Linked DNA regions of Lytechinus pictus. The protein of the gene in region 1 purifies or fractionates together with the protein of each later gene. This does not show direct contact. Links are inferred from orthologs where the notes say so. Each region holds a gene or a part of one and is shown on either strand. Other genes may lie near its edges.

Region 1 (6,835 bases):
TGTGAAATCACAATACCAGCGAAACCCTTGTCCTACTTTATAATTCCGTCAAGCAAATTTGACTTTAGGATCTTGCCTTCCGTTTGGTATTCATGATTTTGATTAATTTTGTGTGAGCTGTGAGAAATTTTTGAATGAAAATCAACTTCATGATGATTTCTAAAATGTGCGCAAATTATGGTCACCCCATCATACTTCTTCAAGGTTCAAGGAGACTACGAAGTCATCAAAAACCTTTACCTGTCCGAGGCCGAGCACTGACATGATTACGGTACTACTGTCCATGACTGTCCGGTATTACAATACATGATGACTAGACCGGTTCGATATTCTGCACATGCACTGCCAGTGCAGTGCAGCTGCAGTACGAATGTACATAAAATTCATGACCACCGCTCCAACTTGATGTTGAATCTCTAACTTACCGGACTGGGAATTGATCTATTTGTCTCTGAGAATCTCCAATGGAGGGATCACCTAGCCAGGAGGCTTCTAGAGAGTAAAAATCATTTACTAACGTAGGCTTACTCTCAATGAAGCCAGGTCTTCCTTCTCATTCACCTACACGAAGGACCCCAAAACCTGAAACTTTCACCCCCGAGATTTCTACTTTCCTTCTAAAAAAAATAAAAGATCTAGCCCTAAATCATGTACATGGGATAAAAACTTCATTTCCGACATTTCTACGCTCTCTTTATTTTTAAACAAGAATTCATCAAAAAAATGAGAAAAATATTGTGAAAAGACGGAAGAGACTTGCCCGATGTTTACGCCGCCATCTTGTTTCCTATTGTTCTTCGCCAACATTACGCAAGTCTCTTCCGTCTTTTCACAATATTTTTCTCATTTTTTTGATGGATTCTTGTTTAAAAATAACAAGCGTAGAAATGTCGGAAATGAAGTTTTTATCCTATGTATGATGGGGTGTCCAAACTTATACTTCGCGCACTTTTCAAAAATATTCATCAGGCTTAAATGTTTTCACAAAATATTCATAATTTATACAAAACCAATTCAAGAAATAGTAACCACATTGACGGCAAGATAAAATCATGGATGAAAATGTAAAGTAGGTCAAGGGGATTCGCCGGTATCGCGATCTCAAAATTCTATTCCGATCGGCGAATGCGCGCTGTGCTGGAAAACCGTTCAGAAAAAGTGTGACCTAATTTCGTGGACCAAAGTCTTTGTGGACATTTAAACAAAAACTCAAGCTCAAAAAGTGAAATATTTATATCAGATTGATGGCAAAATGCTATAGAATCGGTTAGTACCACATTTAACTCACATTTTTGATGATTTCTGCTTGCAAAATGGTGATATCGTGATGCTTGTTGAGAATATCAGATTTCTTCAAAGTGGGCGCTAACGGTGACAAATTTGCCGATCTTTTGCCAATATTTTCATGAATACTGAACTCATCCTAAAGAAACTTACACCAAAGGGTAATTTTAGGTCGCTTTTCACGTTGATTACGTCAGATTTTAAGGATATTGGCTAGTTTTTTAGATAATGACCGTCCGCGAAGTATGGACACGCGCGAAGTTTGGCAGTAGAGGCGCACAGCCAATATTGGAGACTGTCTCTAATGTGGGAGATTATCTCCAATATCAGAGACTTTTGTAAAGAATTTGGGTATCCAATTTCAGAGACAGTCTCCAGTTTTGGAGACCAATTTCCTTTGTTTACATTTGCTCCAAAAGGATTACCTTGGCGGCAAATAAAAATGTGATAAGAAAAAAAATGAAATGAAATGAAAATCCATAATTTATTGTTCGAAAATAGACATGACATGAAATGCTCTGAAAATTTGCTTTGCCCAATTGATCGTGGGCCCGGCAGCCGCTGTGCAGCGCCAGATCGACGAGGCTCTTTCCCTTTACTCGTTGAACGCCAAACAGGGTAGCAGCAACTCCCATCTTTTTACGTCTTTTGGTCTGACGCGGCCAGGGTTTGAACCCTCGACCTCCCGGTTGTGAGACGGACGCTCTACCAACTGAGCCAACACACTGGTGTGTTGCAGATTCCTCATAAAAAATTACTCCTTTTCACCGTCTACTTTAAAATTTCACCGTCTAATTTTGTTTTGATAAGGATTTTTGTTGTCAATCACACACAAAACAAATGGGCTTCTGACCTCAGTGACACAAAATTTTGGGTGGAAAAAATCATGCTTTTGTTGGTGTTGTTTCTTTTGTCCTTTTGCAAAGCAAGTCTCCAATGTCAATGTGGGAGATTGTCTCCCCTATTTTTAGTATTGGAGAGTCTCCCATATTGGCCGTGCGCCTCTACTGTTTGGACTCACTGCCACAGGCACAGGCATAGGCCTACGTTGCCCCGGGAACCTCGACACGACGTCCTACGTTTTCGGGCTGCCGCAGTAAAGGCCTACGCCTACGGCTACGGTACATCATGATTTAGCCTTAGGGCTAGATCCATTGGCATTACTAAGTAGGCCTATACTATAGTAGGCCCTATTACGGTACTATTAGAACTAGAAGGAAAGTAGAAATCTCGGGGGTAAAAGTTTTAGGTTTTGGGGTCCTTCGTGTAGGTGAATGAGAACCTGGCTTCATTGAGAGTAAGCCTACGTCAGTAAATGATTTTTACTCTCTAGAACTTAAGCCTCCTGGCTTGGATCACCTACCGTACCGGTACTATGTATTAGAGAGAGGTACCGACTACCGTACCGTACCGTACGAACCGGTACCGTACCGCGTACGTTAAGGCTAAGCACTGTCCAAAAATATGAGTTACGGTATCACATCACATCACATCAGCATGATCAGGTACGGAAATGAAGGATTTCTCCGGAAGATTTTCCGGTCTTTACTTCACAACTTCATTAATAATAATGGGCTACATGTAGAACCAGTGTCAATCTCAATAAACTTGTTAACATGCCGTACCTTTAACCTTTATAAATAATGAATTCCTTGATGGGAGAGTAGCGATACATCCGCCATGCAGCAAACGTCTTGCATTTATATCTGTTTCTGCGCTGCGCGCGCGCGCGCGCGATCGATCGATCATATGCTGCATGCATACCGGTAATATATCCGGAAGTATATACTAGTAATATGCTCTTATTTGCTCCCACGGGGCCAAATGACATGGTAGACAAAAGCATGTTTTTTCTCCAGACCTTTGTTTATGGATAAGAATTAAAAATAGAGTATGCTCCAAAAAATCTGGCTGCAGGAACTGTTTAGTGAAAAATATGGGTGAAAATGTCAGAATTTATGAGTTTAAAGTGTTCTAATATAAAGACTAGTGTCAGTGTAAAACTCAATAGCAGTGCATTATTTTGCATCCGCTTAGTTCTAAAATTCAAACCTTTTTTTAACAGATATTATGTTTAAATATTCTGTTTGTTATTATTATTATTATTTATTTGGCCATAAAAAACATACAAAAATTGTACAATGTAGTTACATAAATACAATTTGAAATTGAATAATGAAATATGGATAAAGTAGAAATGAAAGAGAAGAAGAAAAGAGTAAGAAAACGGTTTTTCCATGGGCCAGGGCTCGCAAAAGTAAAATTCAGTACTATTTATTGCCCAGAGGCATGCGAGCCCTCATGGAAAAACCGTTGAGAGAGTATTGCACATTCAATATATAAAATTGCACATTATTAAAATTCAAATAAAACACATTGACAACATCATTTTAAAAAGTATGTAACGCCAGGCAAGATAAAAGAAATAAAGAGGGGTATTGGGAAGAATTTGAATACCCATGCCGGACTGATTAAGGAATGTGTGTAATGCTTAACATAAAAAACACAAAAATAACTTAAATTTGTGTGAGGTACCAGAGCCCGAAAAGCAACAATGAAATGTAATAAGGAGGAATACCCTAGACAACAGCAAGAGCTAGCATGCCTCCACATTCCTATTAATGACGTAGGCCTACTCGCCAGGCTCCAGCACCTAATACATAACAATCATAGAGACAACAAATAGTAAAATTACAGGAAACTCGCCTCCTTTGATGAAGAAAAAGTAGAGAAATTAAGAACTGCGTAGTAATAATAATAATTAAAAAAATATAGTAATGATATCGAGATTCTTAGGTTTTTATGTGCCCCAGCAGTTTTGCTAAAGAGGAATTTAAAAAAATCAACTGTACCAAATGGATATAAAGGATCAGCCTGTACTACTTTTGAGCATTATTCTGAAATATTAATTGAAAAAAAAGAAAAAAGATTTAACTATATACTAAATCCTTACTGACAGATAATTGAATCAAATTACAATAAAGCAAACACAATTGTTGGATGCACATCATAGAATGAAATATACAAAGTACATGTAATTATTTAAGTAATATGGCAAGCATATCAAATTACAGGAAAAGTGTAATGGCAAAAATTAATTTAGGATGCGTTTATCCGCCACTTTTTTTACCCTAGAATCATGATCTGAATCATGATTCAAATCATGATTCTGCAGAATCACGATTGCGTTTAGTCGAAATTGAATATAATCATGATTAGAATCACAAACATGAAACACGAAAAAAGGGGCATTTGGAAAGACGTTTCTGCAGAATCACGTACGAAAATGTTCGAATAAACGATATCGTGATTACAATCATGATTCTATGACCTCACTGTTGTGTCGGGCTACTTTCGATTTGACTCTTGCCAAGCTCAAGGCGCTCTTATATGCTCATTGTATGATTATGTACTACGCATGCATTTCTTGTCATGTTCAAGTTCTGTGTTGGTCATCGCATCGTCCACTACTTTTCATTTTTTGGTCATGTCTTCAACTTCAAGTTCTAGAAAATGAATTAACTGGACAGACAATGATCTCAATTGTTGTTGAGTATACAGTATCAACATTAATTGGATCTACGCTGAAATTCACTTCCGAACACCATTTTGGAAAAACTAACAAGATGAATAGAAGCATATGGAACCTATAAAGTATATGATAGAAATAAACAAAATGAGGTATAGACTGAATTCTGGAAGCAAAAGATTTTTCGAGAGCCGAAACACGTGCGAAAAACTTCCTCTGTCAAACTGCGCACTAGTGTGATGCGCACTGGATTGGCCCGAATCTGAGGAGAAACAGCATTGGAATGAAGGTCGTCTAAACGCTGATTCTGTGATATTGTGATTCATGTTTGTGTTTTGAATCATGATTCAGATCATGATTCAAATCATGATTCTGACTTGAGGTCGCATAAACGCAGCCTTAATATAACTGTTCTGGAGGTAAGGTCCAACTAAACAGAGGAGAAAAGAGGGGGAAGAGATATATGCACTGTATATTGAAGCAGACAAAAATAATTCTTTAAGAAATATCATTGTAATCATAGCGCAAATAATGAGGTGGTGAATTGACATATCAATGCACCAAGTGTCTGAATGCAGATGCATAAACAAGCTGAAGCTTAGGGTGGTGGAGGGGGTTAAATGTTGGTGCTGTGTATGTACATATTTTGGTCTTGGGGTAAAGACGTATACAAGACACATTTTTTGCATGTGTTGGAAATTGTGTTGCCATGGTAACAGTGTATTATGATAAAATAAGGTAAAAAAATCTTGCAGTTAGAACTATACTTCCTCTGTTTTCAACCGATTCTCATGAAATTTGGTACACACATTGGTCTTGAGGTGAAGATGTCTAAGACACATTTTTTGTGTCTTTCAGAAATCTTGTTGCCATGGTAACAACACATTATATGGCAAAAAGTTGGTAAAAACCTTGCGATTTGAACTTCGTCAGTTTTGAACCAATTAATTCTCATGAAATTTGCTCACACATTGGCCTTGGGGTAAAGATTTGCAAGAACCTTCTTTTTTTTTGCATTTGTCAGACAGTGTGTTGCCATGTTTACCACATTGTAGATTAAACTACTTCTCAGTTTTCAGCCCGTGCTCATAAAAGTTGGCACAAATATTCATTTTGGGTAAAGATTCATATTCAATGTTAAAGGGGAATCCAGCCTTGGTTATGAAATGTTCGGTTAATGACAAGGATTATAAAAATAGAGAGAATGGTGAAAGTTTGAAAGAAATCGGACAAGCAAAAATAAAGTTATGGCTGCTTTAAAATTAAGATCCCTGAGACTTTATATGTAGATTTCAAATTGGCAAGTGGGTAAGTAAATTATGACAAGTTGCCCCCCCCCCCCCCCCCTGGCGGATTTCACCGGGAAAATAAAAGAAAAACGGGAAAAAGAAAAAAAGGAGGGAGAAAGAAAGGGGAAGGAAAAGGAAAGGAGGAAAGGGAAAGGGAAAAGAAAACTAAGAAAAAACATGAAAAAGGGAAAACGGAAAGATAACGGGAAAAGGAAGGAAAAAAGAACAAGTGAGAAAAAACAATTCGCCCCGATATACAAATACATTAGCATGATTAGTAAGACAGGGAAATAAATTAAAGATGACAAAAAGGCAAACAAAAGCGGGAAATAAAGGCAGAATGGAATTAGCCAAAATCTAAATTGGAAAATAAAGAATAGGGACAAGATAACGTACACTACCGGGCTGCCGAGGATTGAGATAACGAGCGGGAAGAAAAATGAATGGTATATAGCATAATGTCGTATGAAAGTCTATCATAAACTTGCTAAATCTCCAAAGGCTCTGTCCAAGACTCAAGACCCCGTGCAGTGGGGGCTCTTCATCTGTAACCTTTAATGGGTTCTATAACGGGCCCATATATGGACCCTTCCTGCATTAAGCTTTACATTGAAGCACTTGCGTACCGGGGGTGGTTCCACAGCCAAGGGGAAATAAAAGAAAATAAAGGAGGCAGCGAAATGAGATGAATGAAAAAAATATATGACATGATATTTGCTATAATGATGTAAAA
Region 2 (7,975 bases), on another chromosome or scaffold:
ACTTAAGTCATACTTAAATCTTTGTGAAACACCCCCCAGGGCATCCAACCAAATAACAGACCTAGGGGATATTGCAAAAAAAATATTTCCAAGTAATTGCTAATATTCTTTTGTAATTCACAAGTGATTTATCAATTTTAGCTGCAGCAAATCAGATTACACTGCTTGTTTCGAGACAGATTAGCAATCAATTACAAATTCGCTATTAATTTCAAAATTTAGGATTTAAGAAGCAGATTGCATATTTACAATTAATTGTAAGACATAGGATTATTTTAAGGACTGGAAATAGACTTGCAATTGATCACAAGTTTCGTGCAACGCCCCCATTGGCTGGTTAGATCATTTGAAAGACCCAGAGATGGTTGGACTAATCAGTAGTAGACCAAATAGGTATAGCCAAGATGGTGTTAGACAATCTGGGAATTAGACCATATAAGTCAATTGGTCAAGTGAATACAATCGTATACATTGGAGTTGGTAAAAAGAATTCAATCTGAATATGGCAGGAGATAAAGAGAGAGCGCGAGAATCCATGCAATATTTACCTTTTCAGCTTCCTTTAGCTTCTCTTTCCTCTTTTCAGCTTTCCTTTGCAATGCTTTTTCTAAATTGTTCTTCTTCTTTTTGACTTGAAATGCTGTGGAATATATAAATAACTCATTATAATCACTAACGACCATTGTGTGACCATAATAAACACAACATTCAAATTTCAAAATGTCTAAATCATCTTTCTTCCAAGTTATAAACTGCTGAAAAAAAAATACAATTATAATAACAATGCTTCAAGAGGGACAGCAAAATTCATTAACATCAAGAGCATTTTACCCTCAAATTACAAGATGTGGCAGTGAACTTAGTATCGAGAAATGAACTGGTTAAGACTTTGAAGAGATTGAAATTTGTATCATTATACCAAGCTCCCATTATATCTGCCAGACCAAGTGAAAATTTAGCAAAGATTGTTGTTTTCATTGTCAAAATTCACTGTCTGGTCCGATTTCAACAGTATAATAAGCTTTTGTTATAAAGATTAGAAATGAATGAATAATTTGACTATTAGCCAACAAGAGCAGAACTTCAACCAGTGCCATTTGCGACGGTGCAGCATAGAGCTTTAACCTCAGACTTATACCAAAAGCAATTGACAGCAGAAGCAAGTGTTCTAAAAGGCTTCATCCTTTACAAATTCGATATCTCCGCATTTCTCTATATTTTTTCTGATATCCTAAGTAGGATTTTTAACAATTTTGAGGATTGGTGGGATTATTGGCTGACATAGCCTGATAAGTTACCTCCTCCATCTCCAGAAGTCGCTGTCTGCTCTGTAGAACCTGCCTCCTTTTTCTCCTCTTTCTCCTCCTCCTCATCTGATGCAGCCCAGTCATCCTAGAAAACAAAAATAATAATCAGCTTCAATTTCTGTTCTTCCAAGACCAAGTTAGACCTCATTAGACACGATTACTATCCATGACTGAATTGTGCAACAACAACAAAAAATCAATAAATTTTCCATTACTTTTGGGGTTTTATTTTCTTGAATTTCATAAGTTGGTGCCTGTGGCAAAGAAGGCCAATCCTACAGCACTGACCTCATTGGTCGACAATGACGCATACACAGGGGGTACATTTTTAGAAAGTCAGCACCGCGTTTTTTTTTTTTTTACTGGTTTAAATAAATTCAATTCAATGAATTTCCAGTGATATTATAATTTTCTTTTAAGAAGAAACTTTGAGTAAACTTAGTCACTTTTTTAGATCTAGATTAGAATCTACTGTTTATCAGTAGAAGCGCACAGCCAATATGGGAGACTCTCCAATACGGGAGACAATCTCCTATATTGCAGACTTGCTTTGCAAAAGAACAAAACAACACCAACAAAAGCATAATTTTTTCCACCCAAAATTTTGTCTCACTGAGGTCAGAATCAAAGCCCGTTTGTTTTGTGTGTGGATGACAACAAAAATCCTTATTAAAACAAAATTAGACTGAATTTTTAAAGTAGTGGGTGAAAAGGGGTAATTTTTCATGAGGAACATTTTTATTTGCCACAAACGCAACGTAATCCTTTGGCAGCAAATGTAAACGAAGGAAATTGGTCTCCCAGACTCTAAAATTGGATTCTCAAATTCTTTACAAAAGTCTCTGATATTGGAGATAATCTCTCTCGTGGGAGATAGTCTCCCATAATTGGCCGTGCCCGTGCGCCTCTACTGTTTATTGCAGTCTCGATATTGCAAATTATATCCAACTCCAAGCCAAGCCAGCTTAATCTATTAGTCTACTATTTACTAAAAGTACGAAGTCTAACTCTAAGTTAAACCTAAAATTTTGGTTAGGGCCTAACGTTAAACATCTGTGGATTTTGTACAAGTCAATGGTGCTTGAATTTGAAATTCTGGCTAACATTGTCATTATAATACTCTCGACTCTGCAGCTTTTCTCCCCAAAAAAATTCATGACTTTTTTCAACCTTTTATTTTGAGGTCCCAAAAATGTATAAAAAAAGGATAAAACTAAAAGATCATATACATATAAACATACAATTAAACTAATCAAATTGGCGTAGTGATGTGATTCTATATATAAGTAAAAGAAATAAAATTAAAGCCACTGAGTGACACTGTTTCAAACTCGCCACTAAAATAAAATGCACTCCGACACATACACAACACAAGTCAAAAGGAGTGGGGCTAAGCAAAATCTCACCTTCACATCTTCTTCCTCATCCTCTCCTTCCCATTTATCACCGGCAGTCGCCTTGGCGAAACCCGCATCAGGATCAAAATCGTCGTCCTCTGATTAAAAAAGAATCATAAGATAAATGTAAGAAATAAATGTACTATTTTGCACTGGAATTACTCAAATCAATATTTCACTATAATTTTCTGACATATGTCACTGCACATGTTACTCACCCCAGTCGGCCATATTTACATATTGGGCGGGTGCGAGGCTAGCTAGCTGCGAGCGCGCTATAATGCGAGCTTACGCGCGTGAATGCGATGGGTGCGATGACTTGCCTGAGAGCAATTTGTGTGGGCCGGGAGAAACTCCCCCCCCCCCCCCCCCCGCAGGGGCGGATTTGATCTACCATTTTCCAATATAGAGGGGGTGCTAACAAAATGTACATTTTCCCTCTCGATTGCTTGTAAAGCTAAAATCTGAGGGCATTATTCATAAAGACTGTAATTGAATACATTACGCCTAACGTTACCGAATTAGGTCGTGGCGGGTCGTACTAAAGAAAATAATGTGAGCGCGAAGTGCGAGCTGAATTTTATGTTTTTTCATGAACTTAGACTTTAGACTTTTGTAACCATTGGCAGGATACGAGCAAGAATTTATATATCTTTACTTATTTATTTATATTTATTTAAGTTATAAAAGCCAATAAACTCAACTTTCAAAATAATGTTACCAACAGGGTTGGGCTCAATCACAATATAATTGATCAATTAGGTAATTAATTACATTTTTTTTAAATTGTATTTGAAATTTTGAAAGGGAAAGTGATTGAAAAAAATGTAATTGACTTGAAATACTGTCATTACTTTTAATTACATTCAATTACTTGACAATAAACTTATTCAATTTATTATTTGATTTCATGTATGACATTTTTCATGTCAACTTTTTTTCAGCATCAAAGAGTGTAATAGGCAGAATCTGTGCTCTTTAACATAAACCTTCATCTTGTCAGTTTCTCTGTAACTTATAAAGTATGTTGAAATAGGTGGTGCTAGTAGTACATACAGAGTACAAATTGATTTTATTCATGACTTTTATAGAAAGTAATTGAAATTGTAAATGTAATTGACAAAAGTAATTGCTGATTGTAAGTGAAAACTAATTGAACATTATTTTCTACAATTACCCAATTGTAATTGTAATTGAAGAAAGATGAGCCAAACCCTGGATACAAAATAATTGGAAAACTATTCCTACTTAGGGTGAGCATTGCCCATTTAACAAAGGGTATATGACTAAGGCTGAGCAGGAATTACATGTTTCTTTCAGTTTTTGAGAGGCAATTCCTTAGCGGGGTCCTTTGGAAATTGCAGTTGAGGGTGTTGTGATTGAGACCAGGGGGGGGGGGCCACTTCCATTGACGAGTGGATACCATGCGCGACCACGGGGTCTTGAAAAGCACACTAAACACGTATTTTCCATATTCTGAAAATGCACCCCTTAACAAGTATTGGAAACAAAACGATACTATTAGCAAGTATTCCCTGAAATCATGGACCTATTCGTAATAGGTCCATGCTGAAATGAACCCCTAAACAAGTACATAGATATTTTATTGTTATATGTCACGCGTCCGTCGGTCGTCGGTTTTACCTTTAGACACCATAATTTTGGTTTAGTACGGCCCCACCTTCCACACCTCGCGCAAATCGGACTCTAAACACGTAGTGTTGGGGCAAAAATGACATCCTTTATAGAACATTTTGATTTTGTTTTATCATCCCCGCATATTTGACCCTAAACACGTATATTTTTCCGAGCGAAATAGATACCCTTTTTTCAATATTTTTGTGTTTTTGACACCCTTATCACGTTACGTACGTAACGTGCCCTATCTTGAAAAAGACACCCTTTTTGCGTGTTTTTTTGGTCGCGCATGGTATCCACTCGTCAATGTAAGTGCCCCCCCCCCCCCCCCGGGGGATTGAGATCAGTTTAATTTTCACCTTGCACGAGTTAATATGAATTGCAATCTTTGGTGTAGGATTTTTTTTATTTATATCTCAGCGCATGTAATAAAGGGGGAAATAGTACTTACTGAGTCGGGGGGTGGAGTAGGTTGATGGGATAAGAATATTTAGTAACCCAAAAAGAAACAAAGAATGGGAAAGTGAAAGAAGAAAAAGGGGGAAGGGGTACACATGGTTTTTCATTATTTTTTTTTTTTCATACAAAAATTTTGCTTCCGCGCGGGAAAATTACGAAATCGCTTTTTCCATTTTTTTTCTGCACGCCTTTTCTGCCGGCGGTTTATTGTGTACGACTCGTGAATTGGCCAGAAAGTATAACGGCCTCTAATCCAACCTTCAGCTGACACGGTTTTCTTGTCAGGATGCCACCGTGCCTGACCGTCAGTTGCGTTCGTTTGGTCAAAGTATATGACCGTTGCTGATGGTTTATGGAAAAGACTGATTAACAACCATCACCAACCGTCGTCTCTGGTTTCTCCAGTCAGATCATCCGTCGATTGCAATCGATCACCTCTCTCGTCTCATTTCAGTCAATCGGACATCCGTCGACCATTCAGTCACCAACATTCGTTCCGTACACCAATCATTTGTTCCTTTATAAGGCTGCGTTTATGCGACCTCAAGCCAGAATCATGATTTGAATCATGATTCAAAACAAAAACATGAATCACAATATCACAGAATCAGCGTTTAGACGACCTTCATTCCAATGCTGTTTCTCCTCAGATTCGGGCCAATCCAGTGCGCATCACTAGTGCGCAGTTTGACAGAGGAAGTTTTTCGCACGTGTTTTTGCTCTCGAAAAATCTTTTGCTTCCAGAATTCAGTCTATACCTCATTTTGTTTACTTCTATCATATAGGGTCCATATGTTTCTATTCATCTCGTTAGTTTATCCAAAATGGTGTTTGGAAGTGAATTTCAGCGTAGATCCAATTTAATATTGATACTGTATACTCAACAACAACTGAGATCATTGTCTGTCCAGTTAATTCATTTACTAGAACTTGAAGTTGAAGACATGACCAAAAAATGAAAAGTAGTGGACGATGCGATGACCAACACAGAACTTGAACATGACAAGAAATGCATGCGTAGTACGTAATCATGTACATACAATGAGCATATAGAGCGCCTTGAGCTTGGCAAGAGTCAAACCGAAAGTAGCCCGACACAACAGTGAGGTCATAGAATCATGATTGTAATCACGATATCGTTTATTCGAACATTTTCGTACGTGATTCTGCAGAAACGTCTTTCCAAACGCCCCTTTTATCGTGTTTCATGTTTGTGATTCTAATCATGATTATATTCAATTTCGACTAAACGCAATCGTGATTCTGCAGAATCATGATTTGAATCATGATTCAGATCATGATTCTAGGGTAAAAAAGTGGCGGATAAACGCACCCTAACACTCATAAGAACGTAGTCTAGAGTGTAGGTTCAATGCTTGATATCTTTACCTTTAATTTCTCAAAGATAAATCATTGTACAGAGCAAAATGATATACAAGAGATGAAGGGCAGCATTTGCACTACGGTAAAGGGCCGTAACACAAATCGTCCTTAATGCTCATCGACTCCTCGTATTTATGCATTTTTTAACACTTCGATAAAACAGTTACTAAAGATGACTTCAACAACTACAATAACCTAATTAACTTTGCTAATCAACCAGCTTTCTCGAATAAAACAACTGGATAATGCTTAGGCAACTTTGCTAATAATAAATTAATCAAAAGGTTTCATGACAACTCCAACATGTTTATAAAATGTGCGATTTTTGCTAATTTTCGTTAAATCATAGAACGTCTACACATACGATTTCCACATAGTCTACGTTTACAGACCCTATAAGCTCTCTATGACATTAAATCGGAAACATAGTTCGTTACACGACTCCCTCCTCTCTCGAGCTTGGTCCCCAAGCTAATTAATAACAAACTGTCAACTACTAAACAGAAGGTAACGAAAAACTCCAAAACAACATAATTTCAACTTTAAGTTTCGAAACACAATAAAGACTTTGTCATATAGTTTCTTGTAACAGGTAATTCAGTACAACTGTTTTTATACAATGCAAAGCAACACTGAAATTATGCATTGATTAAAGTCCACAAAAGTCAATATTTTTGACGTCCGGTATCCGTAAAAAAACTTGAAGATTGCAATTGAGTTCATTATCATGTATCCTTCAGAACTGGTAACTTAGTCCTGGTTAAAGTTGTAGGAAACTCATGTCACAAAATAATCCCGCAGGTATGTAGCAGGTCGTCTGTCACGGGAGGGATACCGTCTGGCTGAAGTTTCTTTTTCAGGTGTGGTTTCTCCTGTAGCAGTGGGTAATTGTTCATTAGTTGTACCCCCTGCTGTTGCTCCATCTGTTGCGTCTGCTGGACTGTTGTCTGGTGGCTCTCCAGGTACATCGTCATTGGGTGGATTGTCTCCTGAGGAGCTTTCCAAAGTGTGGTCGTCCGCCGAAGCTTCATGTGGTTCACCTGCAAGGGTATCATCTGCGGCATGGCTTCTGTCTGGTGGATCTCCAGGCACATCAACATCTGGCATAACGTCTTCTGGGGAACTTTCAGTATCATGGTCAGTTGTTAACGTGTCATCTTCTGGTCTATCAGATGCGTCTTCACCTGCTGGCGTCTGGTCTGGTGGGTCGGTTGTGTCATGCCTGTTGGCACTACTTGGCGAACTTTGTCCTGATTCTTCATCCGCTGAATTCTCCGGGACCAAGTCTTCTCCAGCGGGTCTGAATTCCCAAGTGGGAAGCCTTACGCCTTGATAGGGCTTCAGCCTGTCAATGTGTACGACCAGTGGTTTAGACCTCCGTGACTGTTGAATCCTAACTGTGACATCTGACAGGCGAGTAACAACTAGGTAAGGGCCAAGCCATCGTGGTTGCAGTTTCGGGCAGCGGCCCTTTTCTCTGGTTTTCTTTCGTAGCCATACAAATTGTCCCACAGCATAAAGAGCTGTATGCACCTTCCTGTCGTAGAACGACTTCTGCCGACGACTCGCTGTCTTCAAGGATTCTCTTGCTACCTTGTGAGCTCTTTCTAGACGATTCCGGAGCCTGGCACTGTAGTCTGTCTGGTCATCATATTCGGCGGTCTCGGGAGGAGGGAGATCCCAGTCCATAGGCATGGTTGTTTCTCGCCCTAACATTAACATGTTGGGTGTTTCACCGGTTGATCCCTGGGGGCAACATCTATAAGCACATGTAGCGAAGGGGATGAATTG
Region 3 (7,152 bases), on another chromosome or scaffold:
GGTGGATGAAGAGGGTGATCTTCTTGCTCGTTTTTCCACCTTTGCTGACACCTATCTTCTGATGTGTGAATGGGCAATACCACACAGTAGGTAGAGATCATCTGCTCTTGTTTTGTCGCAGCCAGTAATTGCTCTGCAAGCAGCATTCAGGGCTGTATCAATCTTTGCAGCATGTGATGACCTAAAACGGATGGGGACTGCATACTCAGCAGTCTAGTAGCATAGAGCAAGAGCTGTCGCACGGATGGTTTTGGCATCTGTTCCCATTTTATGTTGGCAAGCTTCTTCAGGATGCTGTTCCTTGCTCCAACTTTAGCCTTTGTCTTGGAAACATGGTCTTTGTAGGTAAGGGAACTGTCTAGGGTGACGTCAAGGTAGATTGGCTTACTGGTGTGTTCCAACCATTTTCTATACCATCTGAACCTTAGTTATTGGTCTGCATCTCTGTTTTTTAGGTGAAAAGCACTGAGTTGGGTTTTTTCTGGATTTTCCCAGAGATGATTTGCAGCGTAGTAAGGAGTCATGCCTACCAGAGCATTGCTGAGTGCTTTTTCATCTCTTCAGAGGACTGTTTCTGTGAAGCAATGCAAATGTCATCAGCGTACAGGTAGCTCTCACTATTTGGTGGATTGGTTGGTCATTTGTGTAGATGCTAAAGAGTGGGACGATGATTCTTCCTTGTGGGAGACCTTTTCTGTGTCAGCCATCTGCTACTGAAACCACTGAGATGCACAAAAACTGCTGATTTGAGAGCATGCTCTGAATCATCTGTGTTAGCTAAAGCCTTCCTTTGTCATCTCAAAGACTTACCTTGTGAGTATTCGATGATTGTGTCATAAGCTGCAATGAGGTCAACAAAGGCTGCTCCAGTTATCAACCCTTTCTCGAAGCCACCATCTTCAATGCACTGTGCCAGATTCAGCAGTTGACTAGTACAGGACTTTCCGGCCTAAATCCTGCCTGTTCTGGAATGAGGAGCTCATTCACCAAGGGAGCAATGTGGTTGAGTAGGAGCCTTTCAAAGATCTTGTATGTGTGACAAAGCAGAGATATGGGCCGGTAGCTCTTTGCAATGGCTGGTCTTTTGCCTGGCTTGAGTAAGGCAACTACCCTTGATTTCCTCCATAAGTTTGGCATTGTGCTTTCACTCAGACAGAAGTTTAGCATGTCAAGCAGCCGTTGGATTGCAACAGGTCCAAGATGTTTCATCTGCTCACAGATCGAGGACATCATCCAATCCAGCTGCCTTGCTGATCTTCATTGCTTGATAGCATTGCACAAGTCGTTCATGCTGAAAGGTCTTGTGAACTCAGATGACTCTTGGCAGGCTGTCCGCACACTTTTAGGTTGGATCTTCGCGGGTGATTATGAGGGTTACCTTGGTTGTTCACTAGAAGCTGGTGGCCACTTGGCCGGCGGTAACTTGGGACCTAGATTGGGACTTTGTAGAGTCTTTCCCAAGGATCCGAATCTGCATGGTGTTTCTGCCGGTCCTGAATATAGCTTGTACGGCATTCTTGTGGAATATTCTTCCTTGATGATTTCTTCAGCAGCTCTAAAAATGTGTCGTAATGAGTAGGGAGTGCAGGGAGGTTCTGAAGATATGTATCCAGATCTATGGCAAACTGCTCAGTTTACTTTCTTCAGGTTGAAAGTCTGCAGAAGGGAACTTTGCGAGGAGTGATGTTTACCACGGCATCAGGCCATTTGCAACATTGATATTTATCATATAAAATTAAATTATTTTATACACTACCAAAGCAGCAGCAACAATAATATCAATGTTTAGCAACCTACGTGTATACTTTGGCGGAAATGAAAGAAAAATCGGACTCTACATATTTTTATTAAAACTTTTCTGGTCTGAGCCGTTACCATGACAATAGGCAATTTGCAACATTGATATTTATTAATAAAATCAAGCGTTCCCAAGGAAACATCAATTTTTATCATTCTAATGAATTCATGCAGAATAATTACGTAATTTTGGTTTTGGTCATGTAGATTAGTTCGTTTTTACTGTACATCCCACCATTACCTTTTTCAACATGTTATTTTTTACCAAATAAGTTGGTATTTGGTTGCCATGGCAATGGTCTGAGATGGTACTTACATATTTACCAACAAGCATATTTATTTTTAGCAACCTAAACTTAGCGGAAATGAACGAAAAAAATGTGACTCTATATGTTTTTATCAAAATGTGTTCTTTTCTGATAAAAATAAGATGTTACCATGGCAACGGGCCATTTGCAATATTGATATTTATCTTTAAATTCAAGCATTCTCAAGGCAACATCAATTCCTACCATTCCAATAAACTCATGCATAACACTTATGTAGTTTTTATTCTAAATGAGTGGGAAAAATCCAATGCATGTAGATTACATGTAGGTCGCCTTTATTGTATTTCTCGCCATTGTTTTTTTTTACCATGTTATTTCTTTTTTTACCAAATTAGGTATTATTTGGTTGCCATGGCAATGGAATGAGAGTGTATTTATACATTAAGCAAAAACCACTCCTATGTTTAACACCCTAAACGCCGGGAAAATGAAAAAAAAAACAGATTCTACAACTGTAAATCAAAATTTTTACTTTTCTGGAGGAAAAATGAGCAGTTACCATGGCAACGGGCCAATTGGAACCAATTTGATGATCTTAAATATTTTCGAATTTCATTTGTATTTAATTGGAACCCTGAAATCAATCTATTGGCTAATTTATATCATGTTTATCTACCATTTACAGGGGGATACATGCAATTTTTGAGAAATTAATCCGTTGCCATGGCAACGGTCCAAGACGGCATTTATAAATTTGGCAACAAGCAGATTCGTATTCAGCACCCTAAAAATAGGGGGATAAGCACAAAAAATCAGATTCTACAGAAAATTTTTGGAATTCTTACTACTTGCCGCCTACTAATATGTCATGCATTTGCAGAACAGTAACCTAATCATGTCGCGGGAAAAATTGGAACATGCGCGAAAGTCATTGTCGCCCTCTCTAGTCGTGCCGGGGTAAAGGGGAAATCCCGAATCGTTGACTCGAGTCGATCGACTTTACACACGAGTCGGGACACGGAGTCCAATCAATTTGGTCCCCATCTCGATATTTCTACCAGATTTAAATCCCCTATTTACGTAAGCCCAAGTTTGGTTGCTTCATATTTCTCTTTTTCTTTTCAAAAGATTATACCTTTTTACAAAATCAATGTGATGATTGGAGGTGCTTGGAAACTTGGAAGGATTGGGAGTGATGGCCATAGGCGGCGGAAGCGGGGGGGGGGGGGGGGTCCTTTCCCCCTAAATTTGAGGTGGGGGACGGTCCCCCTAAATCTTTTGTTGATAACTTTTTTTTTTGTCAAAAAATTTAGGTGGTTCCCCCTAAAATTTTTGGTTGATAACTTTTTTTTTTTTTTGGGGGGGGGGCCTTGTTAATTTTGTTTCCTGCGTCCCCCCTAATTTTTTTGGCTTCCGCCGCCAATCGTAATGGCGGCTAGGAAGAGGCGCTTTATAGGAATGGGGAGAACAGGTTGGTCAATGAAAAAGATATGCTTACAGGAACGGCAGGACAGGCGTTAAAAGGGGTCTAAAGGACAGCAAAGAAAAGTAAAGAAAGGAGGAAGAAGAATAAGGATGAGAAGAAGAAGAAAAGAATGGAAAAGTCCCAAGTACAGGAAAGGAGAAAAAGGTGGAGGAGAAGAAAAAAAAAGAAAAGTACGAGAAAGGAGGAAAAGAAAGAGAATGGGGAAGATGGGAGAAAATATTAAGAGGATGAGGAGAAAGAGAAGGCAAGGGGGTGGGGTGGGAGGGGAAAAAACCCAAAGAATAAGGAAAATATAATAAGGAGGAAAAGAGAAAGGAGGGGGGAAGGTATACAGGAGAATCAACCAGAACAGAGAGTAAAGTAAGAAATGGGTTGAGTAGATGACTAGTGGGTGATTACAGGTATATAAAGAAAGAAGGAAAATGAGAATTTGAAAAAGAAAAGGATAATAATTTATATTAAATTATAAGAGAACATGAAGAAAATATCAGGGGGTAGCAGTAAAACAGAAAAGGAATTATGAATGGTATATTTTAATTCCAGATAATGCTTCTTCAATATTATTTTTATTAATTCACATCACGCTAGCCAAAATTTACTATATCCTACCCCTTTTTAATCACTTAGTTTGCAATGCTTTGGAGTATATTCTAAAAATTGCAACTTAGAAGGGCAAGGGCGGGGGGGGGGGGGGGACTTCCTGGCTCATATTATAATTTAACTTCAAACGTCGTTTATATCAGGTTTAAAAATCTGTGTCTAACACAAGAGGCTTGACTAATTGCCTGGCAGCATTTATCCACATGATTGTATTAAATAATATAATCTTTTTATGATCTTTTTTTCATCTTCTCAACGAGCATACCAGACCGCAAGTCCAGATTCATTATCCCAGATTGTTAATAGATTTTCAAACATGCATAATAAAAGGACTATCAGTGGAAAGGATAAATTAAAGGTCATGTCCATCGCAATCATGTCACCAAAAGTTGATTTGAAATAGATTCTGAAAAAAATCCAACAACCAGAAATTCATAAAATTTTTATCAAAAACGGATTACAAAATGAAAGTCACAAAATTTTAAAATTTTCTGCTTATTTTGGCATGTTATCCAAATGACAGAACCAATAATGTCACATAGTATTATTTTCTTTTGTATTTTATGAACCTAGTTATCTTTTTAAAAAGCTTTGCGGATTTGACACATGAGAAAGTCTTCAAAAGATTGCAAAACTTGCAATTCCACATGTCCAGGGAGGAATCAAACCTTCAGTTATTTCACATCGCAATGGGGAAAACATTAAAATATTTCAGATTTAATACAAAAGAAACAAATAGTGAGTGGGTCACTCAGGACGTCATTGATTCCCTCATTTGTAATATATCTGTTTTGTGAATCTAGCAAAATTATAAAATGTCATAAAGTTCAATTATTTATGTTACAAGAAAAAGTTCCTTGTAGGTAGAATAACACACAAGAGAAACAAATTCAAGAATCCTTTGATAACAAAAGGTTTATTGATATCAATACAAAAAATATGACTGTATTTACAAAATACATATATATGCCATAAATCTGACAATAATTAATAACATATAACAAGTATTGCAAGTGAAATAACAAACTAATTCAGATTTTACAAGTTTTTGGTCACAAAAGAAATAATTTACCTGCTTGATATAACTGTAACCAATATTTCTAACCACTCTTTATTTCATGGTGCCAACCAGATCTATCTCAAAATAACTTGATAGAGTCAAGGCCATTTAAAAAAAGGATGACTAATCAAAACTGTACATTTCTTTACTTCCCATTGTCCAAAATTCTGATCAATAATGGTCTACAATAAACTTAAATGCAATACAGTGGTGTCAAAAAGTTAGTGAACCCCACCAGAAAATGCACTCTTTCATGCTGAGTGTTGAATGTAGACTGCACTACATTATCCCGAGAGTCCAGAGAAACAAACTTTACTGAATGTAATATTTTATCAACTGACTTCACAAGTAAATGTCTAAAACATGGCAAAACTGAACACTATAATATATGTTCAATTTCTGTTGGGGTTCACTAACTTTTTAGCACACTGTATATTCATTGTTATAATATACTTATTTGAATAAACATATTTTCAAGAAAAAAAATGATTCAACAGAACATAATTTCAAATAAAAATGATAAAATTAGAGCTGTCACTTTAAATGAAGGACACATAATTGGAATATTCTTCTACTTGAACAAGGCATTTCATAACAACCCATCACAACAGTTTACTTTGCTCTCTAGATTATGTCTATACTCATCAAATGGACAATATCACATGGACCTAGTTCAGACTCTCTTCTACCCCCAATGCAGTGTGCCAAAGGGCCCCATTTTAGGACCACTTTTATTCCTCATCTAATGACATTACGGAGCTTCACTTTTTTTTGGTTCTGATAATTTGAATATCTTCTAATTTCACAAAGATCCTCGTTCATTACAAATTTTGAATGCTGGAATTGTTAATGTATCAAGCTGGTTTAAATTGAATAAACTTTCTGTCAACAGAGGCAATGTCAATTTCAACTTCAAAATCATGGCCCAACAAATTATGTTCACACACTTTTTTTTTGTACTTTGTCTAAATTTCAGATTTTTTCTCTAGGGACCTGTGCCCCCAGACAATGGATTCACCAATGTATCTACTTACACATATACTCCCTGAAAGCCATGTCTTAAAAAAATATGATCTACACCTAATACTCAAATTCCCTTACACAAATTCACAGTAGTTGTCTCTTTCACATACACATGCATCAATCTAGAGATCATCAGTTATGAATAGTCAAGAAGATGCCACCTGAATATTTTTATATAGGAGATCACCATACATTGAAGTTAACAATAGCAGTCTCCTGCAAATTCCTCACTGATTTTTGTTTTTATTTCTATAAGAAAATGATGACTCCAAATACATTCTTAGTGGTGTACAAAAAGAGTCAAAAGTACCCCTAAAAAGAGGTCAAGAGGGGGGGGGGGGGGGAGCATAAGTGACACTGGATCCACCCCTGAATATCACTCTTCACCTCAGATCTTTTTCCCTCCTGCTCATGCTACAATGTCAAAATAATTGTATTTTGTTGGAAAACAATAAAAAATGAAGTCAAAGAAACAGAAATAAATCAATCAAAGCAAGTGAAGGACTTGCTGCACTGTTAAGAGTAGGATTATGATGGGTAGACATGGGTTAATGGACAAGGGTCAGCTATGGGAATAGGACTCTAATTCAAATTCATTGGTTCTCCAAGCCAATTTAAAACAATATTAGGCCTCTTAGAAATAATTAGAGGTGTAATATCTCCAAGTATTACTTCAGGACTCACCATTGGTGACTTTTTAAGAGAAGTTTTGTGTCTGCTATTTCGGCAAAAAAATTTAAAATTTCTGCTTGATAATAATTATGATATTACTTGATTTTGATCAAGAGCTAAATCTAACTAAAACTTTACTGAAAGTTTTCATTACCTTTGGAAAGAAACCATTTCAGAAAATATATGATTTGAATATTTGAGTATAATTTGTTAGAAGCTTTTCATATTTCACACCATTAGTAAGA
Region 4 (7,759 bases), on another chromosome or scaffold:
TGGAAAGCAATTCCAGGCTCCAGGGGAGTAAGCCTACGTATACATGTAGTAGACTTATTTTTACTCTCCAGGAGCCTCCAGGCTAGGTGCATGTGCATATGGAACTCTTACCTCAAAGATTTCTCCACACAAGAAATCTATGAAAGTTCATTCACCTGTCGAGTGTTAGTATACTAATACTAACCTCGCAAAACTTGTGAGTGGTCGAGTGCCAACATCAATTGAGTGCGCTAGTCAATGTAAACATATCAGGTTTCATTACAAGATTGGAAGACGGCAAGTCGTGAAAAATAGACGGTGAACTGGAGGGAACTGAGGTCACTGAATCTAATTTTAGCCCTCTCCATCCCCGTACTTGCCGTCTATGTCCCGCAGGCGTAAGTGAAAAAAAAACTGTCCCCATAAACAAGGACAATCTCAGTTTATCAAGACATGATTTCTCCTGGTTAATGAGGATATCTTTGTTTTCTGGGACAATCCCAATTTTTGGACCAGCGCCTCTACTGTACTGATATGATATGGAACTCTTGCCAAAATCCCTGAATCGTGTGTGAACAGTGAAGTGAATGGGTGCGCAGACATGGGGCACCATTTTTTTTTTCAATCTGAAAATGACTGGCTGAGGTTTTTTCCCAAGAAATATATTTCTAACGTTAAGCTCAGCTTATCAGTCCCACCCAAGGGTTCATTACATGCCGCCGCGCACAGAAAAATCAAGCTATAGTTGTCGTGTGTGGTGGACACCAGGGTCCCGTAACCCGGGGGGGGGGCACTCAGTAGGCCTATATAATGCATAGTGGGTATGTGCCGCAGAGGGGACCCCCATTTTTACACTCAAATTTCCGTTCCAAGGCATAGCATTTTTGTCTTCTTGAGAAAAAGAACAAAGAAAGCCGCTCCAAAGCATAGCATTTTCTTCTTATTGAGAAAAAAGAAGAAAGAAATCCGCTCCAAAGCTTCGCATATTTTTCGTTACGCCGTTCCCGTCGCATTGATCTGCTACAAGGAGCTGCAATTTTGGTGAAAAGCGGCCGCAGAGCGCTGTCCGACCATCGCCTCTGCGCAAGCGCACCCGGCGGAGGCCGTGCTAGCTGCATCATGCACGCATGCCCGTTCCACAGGGATGCATACGCACTCACACGCTGGCGATCCGTTCCAAGGACCCCCGTTTTCACAAACATTTGTAGTTCCGAAGCCCGTTCCGAGGACCCTCCTTTTTACAATAAGCCCGCTCCAAGGCCCCCGTTTTTTGTCTCGCCCGCGGCACACCCCTACCACTTTTTTGGTCGAGTGCCCCCCCCCCCCCCGGCCCGAAACACAAAACTTTCAGTTAGCGATTGATCGTACACTTGATTTTAATTTTACGAATATGATTATGTTATGTTGTAGTCCCTAGTTATACCGAGGTTATACCTGACTGCTAAGAAAGCACGAATGCCTGTGAGCAAGCAACCAGTGGACCAACGGCTTAAGGTCCTCTCCGAGGGACCTGGTAATGAGGATAAATGCCTTACCAAAGGGCACTAGCGCACCACTTGGGAATCGAACCCGGGTCACCGGAATCCGAAACCCCCGCTCTACCGACTGAGCTATCGCGCCTCCCCAGATACATTGAGTGATTGACATTGTAGTCGATGGAATCAATCGTAGGAAAATGTTCTACGTCTACGATCATTGCTAAGCTTTGTGTTACGGGTCTATGAAGTGGGGTCCCACCGTCCCAGGCTCAGCACGCCCGACCCACTAGTTAGAAATCCACTGCCAAACGCGGTTCATGGTGCGAGGTTAGTAACCTCGCAAGTCGCAATACGTGTGTGACTGTGACCACTCCTAGTACCAATGAGGTCCAACATTACATGTATGGACCTCATAGGCGACATCAGTAGTATTTTTGGTTAGAAATCTCTGAGAACAGGATATTTAAACATTATATCACAAGTACAAGCTATAATTCCTTTCTCTTATTTAAATTATAATTTTATAGTGTAAATGCATCGTTAGCAACAACAAAAAATGAAAGAAATGAAGGGGAACTTACATTTTCACGGCTTTTTCCTGATTTTCTGGGCAGCTGCTCTTTTCTTCTGACTCGCGATCGAAGCTGATATGAAGATCACGTGATTCGCGTTCTCGTCAGCTGATCGGTTGGTTATTCTTTTCGTCAGACGTTAATAATATATATTTTATAATGCTAGCATTCATCGCTAATTTAGGTGAAAGAGATTGAAGTTAAACAGCGCCAGGTCGGAATCATAATTATTTTGGAAGAGTGTATTTATACACTCGATCTCATACCTGACGTAGACGGCGCTATTCAACAAATGCACAATCTTCAATATAAAAAATAAAACAGAAAGAACGCCTTGAACACAGGCCAAAATGCCTAACGATTTCTCCGCGGCATTAACAACTATCGTAAAGGGCGCTCCATTTATCAATAAAGATGGACGCTAAGCTGTCTATGGCGACAAAATTTGCCGCAAATATTTACGAAGAATTGTGAGAAATGGTCTGAAAATGCAACAAAAGAACCGGTGAGTACCGATTAAACATTATTAAATTTGTAAATAGATTATACATACCTTGTAGATTTAGTTTTTAAGGTGATATTAGTGCTTAGTTCTAAGCTAGGGAGGCCCAAACGCGCGTGAGTGGAGTCCCAGTTTATTAGCACGGGTAAGTATTGGGGTGTCGCCTAGAGTGACTGTGACTGTGTGAGTGCATCAGTCCTGCCTCTCATGCCTCTGGTCCCATCAATTCAATTTCAGTGTCGGTTGAGTGTTTTTAATTTAAAAAAAAAGCCACGGTCTTTTCTTTCACAATCATCAGTAATCACAACATAACTTATTGTGAAATAGTCATATCAACCTAGGTCTTCCTACATTTTTAAAATCAAATCAAATCAAAGATCTTACCCAAGCGTACGCGACAGCAAAGCCAATAAGGGACAGCAACGCAACAAGAGAAAACGATTCGATTGATTGATGAATCTCGTGATAAAGCGCCATCTATTGTTCGAGAGTGTAGCAAAAAAAAATGTAAATTGGCGGATAAGGTTCTGTGATCGTGAGGATGCCTAAATCTGTTCCTGGGGCGGAATTAATCCGTTATCTCGGGGAGGGGGGTGCATGCACAACTGGCTTCCGAAAGTTCAAATTAGATGTAGATATTACGAATAAGCGGAGTGGGCAATAAACAGATGTTTTTTATCATCTCCAAAAAGTTCCACGACCACTGGAAAAATTTATCAGAGAAAAATAATTTTATTTACTTATAGCCCGAATTATTTGAATGTGCATAAAAGTCATTGATTAATCAATGACTTTCAATCTAATAAAAGGGTCATTTTCTTTTCTTGCTCCAAAAAAAAGAAGCCCCCCCCCCCGTGTTCCACATTGCTAATAAATATCATCCTCGTTATATTATCTGATGAAACGGTTTCTGACAGCATGTAGTTGAAGTTTCCTGCATTTGATTTGTTTTGTCATGTTTCTCCTTTTGTTTTGGTTTTGTTTAATTTGTGACTCTGTTTATTGTTAGAAATGTTAACTTATCATTGTAACTTATGTTCGATAATTTGTAAAAAAAAATTGTGCATTACATTATTGTAATCCCCGTTGTAATCCTTTATGTTTGGATTTGAAAAACCGTATATCACTGGCGGATCCAGGGGGCAATTCACCCCCCCCCCTCCTTGAGAGGGATTTTTAATGTAAAATTGCCGTTAAAAAGATGTGCCCCCCCCCCCATTTGACAGTGAATACCTTTATTTTGTTTAACTTTTTTTAATTTGAGGGAAAATGTGCCCCCCCCCGGCCCCTTTGAAAACTCCTGGATCCGCCCCTGTGAGATAGTAGGGCCTATTACTGGCTGACCTCAAGAACTATGATTTTATGGTATTGCTGCAAGCGGATATACTAAAAGGTGTTACACATCAAACGCAGCACCCCTTGGAAATTAGCTTGGTCGGCTAAAATGTAAAGTTATGATCTAAAACCCTTTTTCTTCGATCTCAGTTAGTAAACTTTTTTTTTTCCCCCAGACAAAATAATCCTTTTCGGGTGAAATGAACCTCGGCTTTCTTTCTTTCTTCCTTCCTTCCTTCCTTCCTTCCTTCCTTCCTTCCTCCTTCCTTCCTTCCTTTTTTTTCTTTTTCTATCTTTCTTTTTCTATCTTTATTTTTTTCTTTCTATCTATATAGGCCTATCTTTCTTTTTTGGGTTTCTTTCTTTCTTTTCAAGCAAATCAGGGTGAACTTTAGTCTTATAATTCCCATGCAGGCCCCTGCAAAGCGGGAAAGCATTCCCCGATTCTCATCATTTCTTTATGATCCAATTCAAGCAACGATGTCATACAACGATGATGATGATGACAGGGGCGGAAATCTCTCCCAAAAGGTATAGGGGGACGCAGGTGCGGATCCAGCCTTCGCCAATAGGGGGGCGGAAATTTGTTTCAGCCATATTTTTCCCCGATCGGCAGCTCGAAGATGATTTTTGTTTGTGTCTTTGAAGGGGTAGTCCTCATTATTCACCTCTTAGCTTTATTCTTATAAATTAATTTACAATATCATAATCCTTATTCATATGATGCGAGCGCGAAGCGCGAGCTAATTTTGTTGTTGTTGAAATTTTATGTATTTTTCCTAAAATTTGAACATTCTGGGCAATGTTTGTTATCCTGAAAAAGATGTGTATGCAACTAAATAATTACTACGAACGCAAAGCGCGAGCAGAAATGAACTGATGGAAAATATACCAGTTAAAGATTGCTTGCATTTAGCATTTAATAATCTAATAATGCGAGCGCGAAGCGCGAGCTGAATTTTTTTTTACATTTTCACCTAAAGAATGGAAATTCTAAGCACTTTTTGTAACTCGAGTAGAATAGTGATATAAGTAGACAATTGATGCGAGCGCAAAGCGCGAGCGGAAAATTTCGAGATTTAGTCCTAGCTATACTATTTACTTAACGGGACACTCTATTCATGTTTTGTAAATCATGAAAAGGATTAGTATTAATGATGCAAGCGCAATGCGCGAGCAGAAATTTTTTTTATACGTTTTGAACTGGTACCTGTTGAAAAAGTACCTGTTAAAGGACAATTCCACCCCAACAAAAACTTGATTTGAATAAAAAGATAAAAATTCAACAAGCATAACACTGAAAATTTCATCAAAATCGGATGTAAAATAAGAAAGTTATGACATTTTAAAGTTTCGCTTCATTTCACAAAACAGTCAGGCGCGTAGCCAGGGGGGGGCGGTGGGGGCGGTCGCCCCCCCAAAAAAAAACGTCCCCAAAAAGAAAAAAAAGGGAAAAAGAGGAAAAAAAGGAAAAGGGAAGGGAGGAAAGGGAAGAAAGGTAGCTTTGTCGGTTTTTTTTTCTTTTTATTCTTTATTTTTTTTCTCAAAAGAGAAACTCCTTCACTCTTGCTTTAAATTTATATATGAATTTTGCTTCCGCGCTGCGCGCGGTTAAATGACAATATTGAAGTTCTCCATTGTTTCCCCCACCCTTTCTCTAACTCTGCTTTTCCACCTCAGCTATATGTGTTTCTTGCCAGTTAAAGTTCAAATGTATAGATTAGGGCATGGAATTAGAGTAAGGTTAGGCCGAAGTATATGAAGTTATCTTTTTTTTTATTGATCGCGCAACTTCTGGTCGGGTCGGCTCCGGGCGGGTAAAATCTTTATATCAATTTCTGCCGTAAAGTCAACTTCTCCCGCTTTTCAGGTCATTACTAAACAACCATAATTTGGGGCAAACAGGTTCCTAATTGAAGAGGAATGTATAAAATTCGTGTCGTATTAAATAAAAAAGTACAATATTTTTTTTCAAATTCTATTAATCTTCATGTTATTTCCCTGCACATTCATCTCCTGTCCTGTTTTGCGCCCTCAGTTTGAAATTTTGAATGACACTTAGGTTTCTTTATAATTAAAAATGAAGCGCTTCAGGATAAGTCAAAGAAATTAGGCATCCTTTTTTATATTATTTTAATAAATCACAGAAGTTTCAACTTTTTGCGCACTATTTTCCTTGTAATGAAGTTCAATAATCTTAGGAAATCAATTGAATTAGAGCCGATGGGGTATTAGATATATCTGCATTTGATGAAACGTCCGCCCTTTGAAATTTCAGAGTTTTATTGCTCTGCGCGGGGAGGAATATCTTCCTCCCGGCATATACACTTCTTCTCCTCTGTTTTGCGAGTTAAAGATATGCACTGTCGCTAAATTGTTTGTAATCAAATCTGATATTTCCAAGGAAGTATTCAATATATCTTTGAGAATACCCTTTTCTCGGGACCCTTTTCATGGCAAAAAAATTTGATAAAACGCTTTAGCTTCCGCGCTTCGCGCGGGGTTATAATGATTTTAATTTCCTCCATTGTATTCCTTTTTGTGCGTTCACAATCACTTTTAAAAACAAGTTCAAAATCACAATAAAGTCAACTGAATTGGAGCTGATATAGGTACTAGAGACAAGAGAGACGGTTCCTTTTCATTTTAATTTATGAAACACCAAAAGCTTCGCGCTTCGCGCGAGAGGGGGAAACTCCCCCTCCCTGCACCCACCCCCTAGGGAGCGCGCTTCGCGCGCTCTGTAAGTGTTGGCACGCTTCGCGTGCATTTACCGCCCCCTCCAAAATGAAATCCTGGCTACGCGGTTGAAAACGTACAGTTATATGCACATATCGGTCGGTATGCAAATCAGTGAGGGAACTGATGACATCACTCACTCACTATTTCTTTTGTATTTTATATCAAATATTTTGATTTTCTCATCATTGTCATGTGAAATGAAGTTTCATTCCTCCCTGAACACGTGGAATTCCATTATTTTAATATTTTGTGCTTCAGGCAGGGAGGTCCTAATCATCAAATTCGTAAAAATTGAAATATTGTATAATTCAAACAATAAAAAACAAAAGATATAGTGAGTGAATGACATCACCGACTCTCTCATTTGGATGTAACTGGCTCGTTCATATAACTATTTTGTTAAAAATAAGTGAAACTTTGAAATGTCATAACTTTCTTATTTTACATCCGATTTTGATGAAATTTTCAGCATTGTGCTTGTCTGATTTTTCTCTATTTATTCAAATCAACATTTTTCAGAGGTGGACTTGACCTTTAAGGACTGCTTGCACTTAGCCATGAAGGCATTACATATTTTAACAATCAAAAAATGCGAGCGCGAAGCGCGAGCTGAAAATTTTTGAAATTTCTAAAGAAAGAATGGAAAATTTTAATCAATTTTTGTAGTCGTGAACAGGATAGCTATATCATCTAACAATTATTGCGAGCGCGAAGTGCGAGCAAAAAAAAAATCGAGATTTAGACCTAAAAATGGGCCACTCTGTTGATGTTTTGTAAATCATGAAAAGGATGAGTATAGGGGGTCTTCCTACAATAATTATGCGAGCACAAAGCGCGAGCAGAATTTTTTTTTTTGTGATTTTTTTTTAGTGAAACTGGATAATGATTTAAATATAAACATGCGCGCGTGTTTCTTATTTAGACCTATAATCTAGGCATTCTAAATACATCTTTAATCATGAAACGTTGATATTCCGATCTGAAAAAAAGAGTCAATTTCAGCTTTATTTCAAGCAATATAGGGGGGGGGTCCGGGCCCCTGGATCCGCCTATGGGGACAAGGGGTTGGAAAATTTGACAATAAAAAAAAAAGGTTATTATTCCAAAAGTAAGGTCATCTCGTCCCAAAATAATGTTTTATTTTGATTAAG

The links.
Region 2: the proteins of casein kinase II subunit beta (region 1) and eukaryotic translation initiation factor 3 subunit J-like purify together in Homo sapiens (co-immunoprecipitation; 3 studies listed by BioGRID and IntAct, with this or other methods). This does not show direct contact. The link is inferred for Lytechinus pictus from reciprocal best matches to the Homo sapiens genes CSNK2B and EIF3J.
Region 3: the proteins of casein kinase II subunit beta (region 1) and FACT complex subunit SSRP1-like fractionate together in Homo sapiens (co-fractionation; 5 studies listed by BioGRID and IntAct, with this or other methods). This does not show direct contact. The link is inferred for Lytechinus pictus from reciprocal best matches to the Homo sapiens genes CSNK2B and SSRP1.
Region 4: the proteins of casein kinase II subunit beta (region 1) and cyclin-dependent kinase 11B-like purify together in Homo sapiens (co-immunoprecipitation; 3 studies listed by BioGRID and IntAct, with this or other methods). This does not show direct contact. The link is inferred for Lytechinus pictus from reciprocal best matches to the Homo sapiens genes CSNK2B and CDK11B.

What each region holds. Positions count from the first base shown.
Region 1 is NC_087259.1:826,668-833,502, forward strand, and holds the start of casein kinase II subunit beta, read right to left. Parts: upstream 3,001-6,835; 5' UTR 2,910-3,000; intron 493-2,909; exon of another isoform or gene 426-492; intron 1-425. UniProt on the Homo sapiens protein: Regulatory subunit of casein kinase II/CK2.
Region 2 is NC_087249.1:11,752,641-11,760,615, reverse strand, and holds the start of eukaryotic translation initiation factor 3 subunit J-like, read right to left. Parts: upstream 3,005-7,975; 5' UTR 2,936-3,004; coding exon 2,923-2,935; intron 2,803-2,922; coding exon 2,714-2,802; intron 1,393-2,713; coding exon 1,299-1,392; intron 641-1,298; coding exon 549-640; intron 1-548. UniProt on the Homo sapiens protein: Component of the eukaryotic translation initiation factor 3 (eIF-3) complex, which is required for several steps in the initiation of protein synthesis.
Region 3 is NC_087246.1:34,904,782-34,911,933, forward strand, and holds the start of FACT complex subunit SSRP1-like, read right to left. Parts: upstream 3,018-7,152; 5' UTR 2,912-3,017; intron 1-2,911. UniProt on the Homo sapiens protein: Component of the FACT complex, a general chromatin factor that acts to reorganize nucleosomes. The FACT complex is involved in multiple processes that require DNA as a template such as mRNA elongation, DNA replication and DNA repair.
Region 4 is NC_087258.1:23,329,608-23,337,366, forward strand, and holds the start of cyclin-dependent kinase 11B-like, read right to left. Parts: upstream 3,011-7,759; 5' UTR 2,916-3,010; intron 2,703-2,915; exon of another isoform or gene 2,583-2,702; intron 1-2,582. UniProt on the Homo sapiens protein: Plays multiple roles in cell cycle progression, cytokinesis and apoptosis. Involved in pre-mRNA splicing in a kinase activity-dependent manner. Isoform 7 may act as a negative regulator of normal cell cycle progression.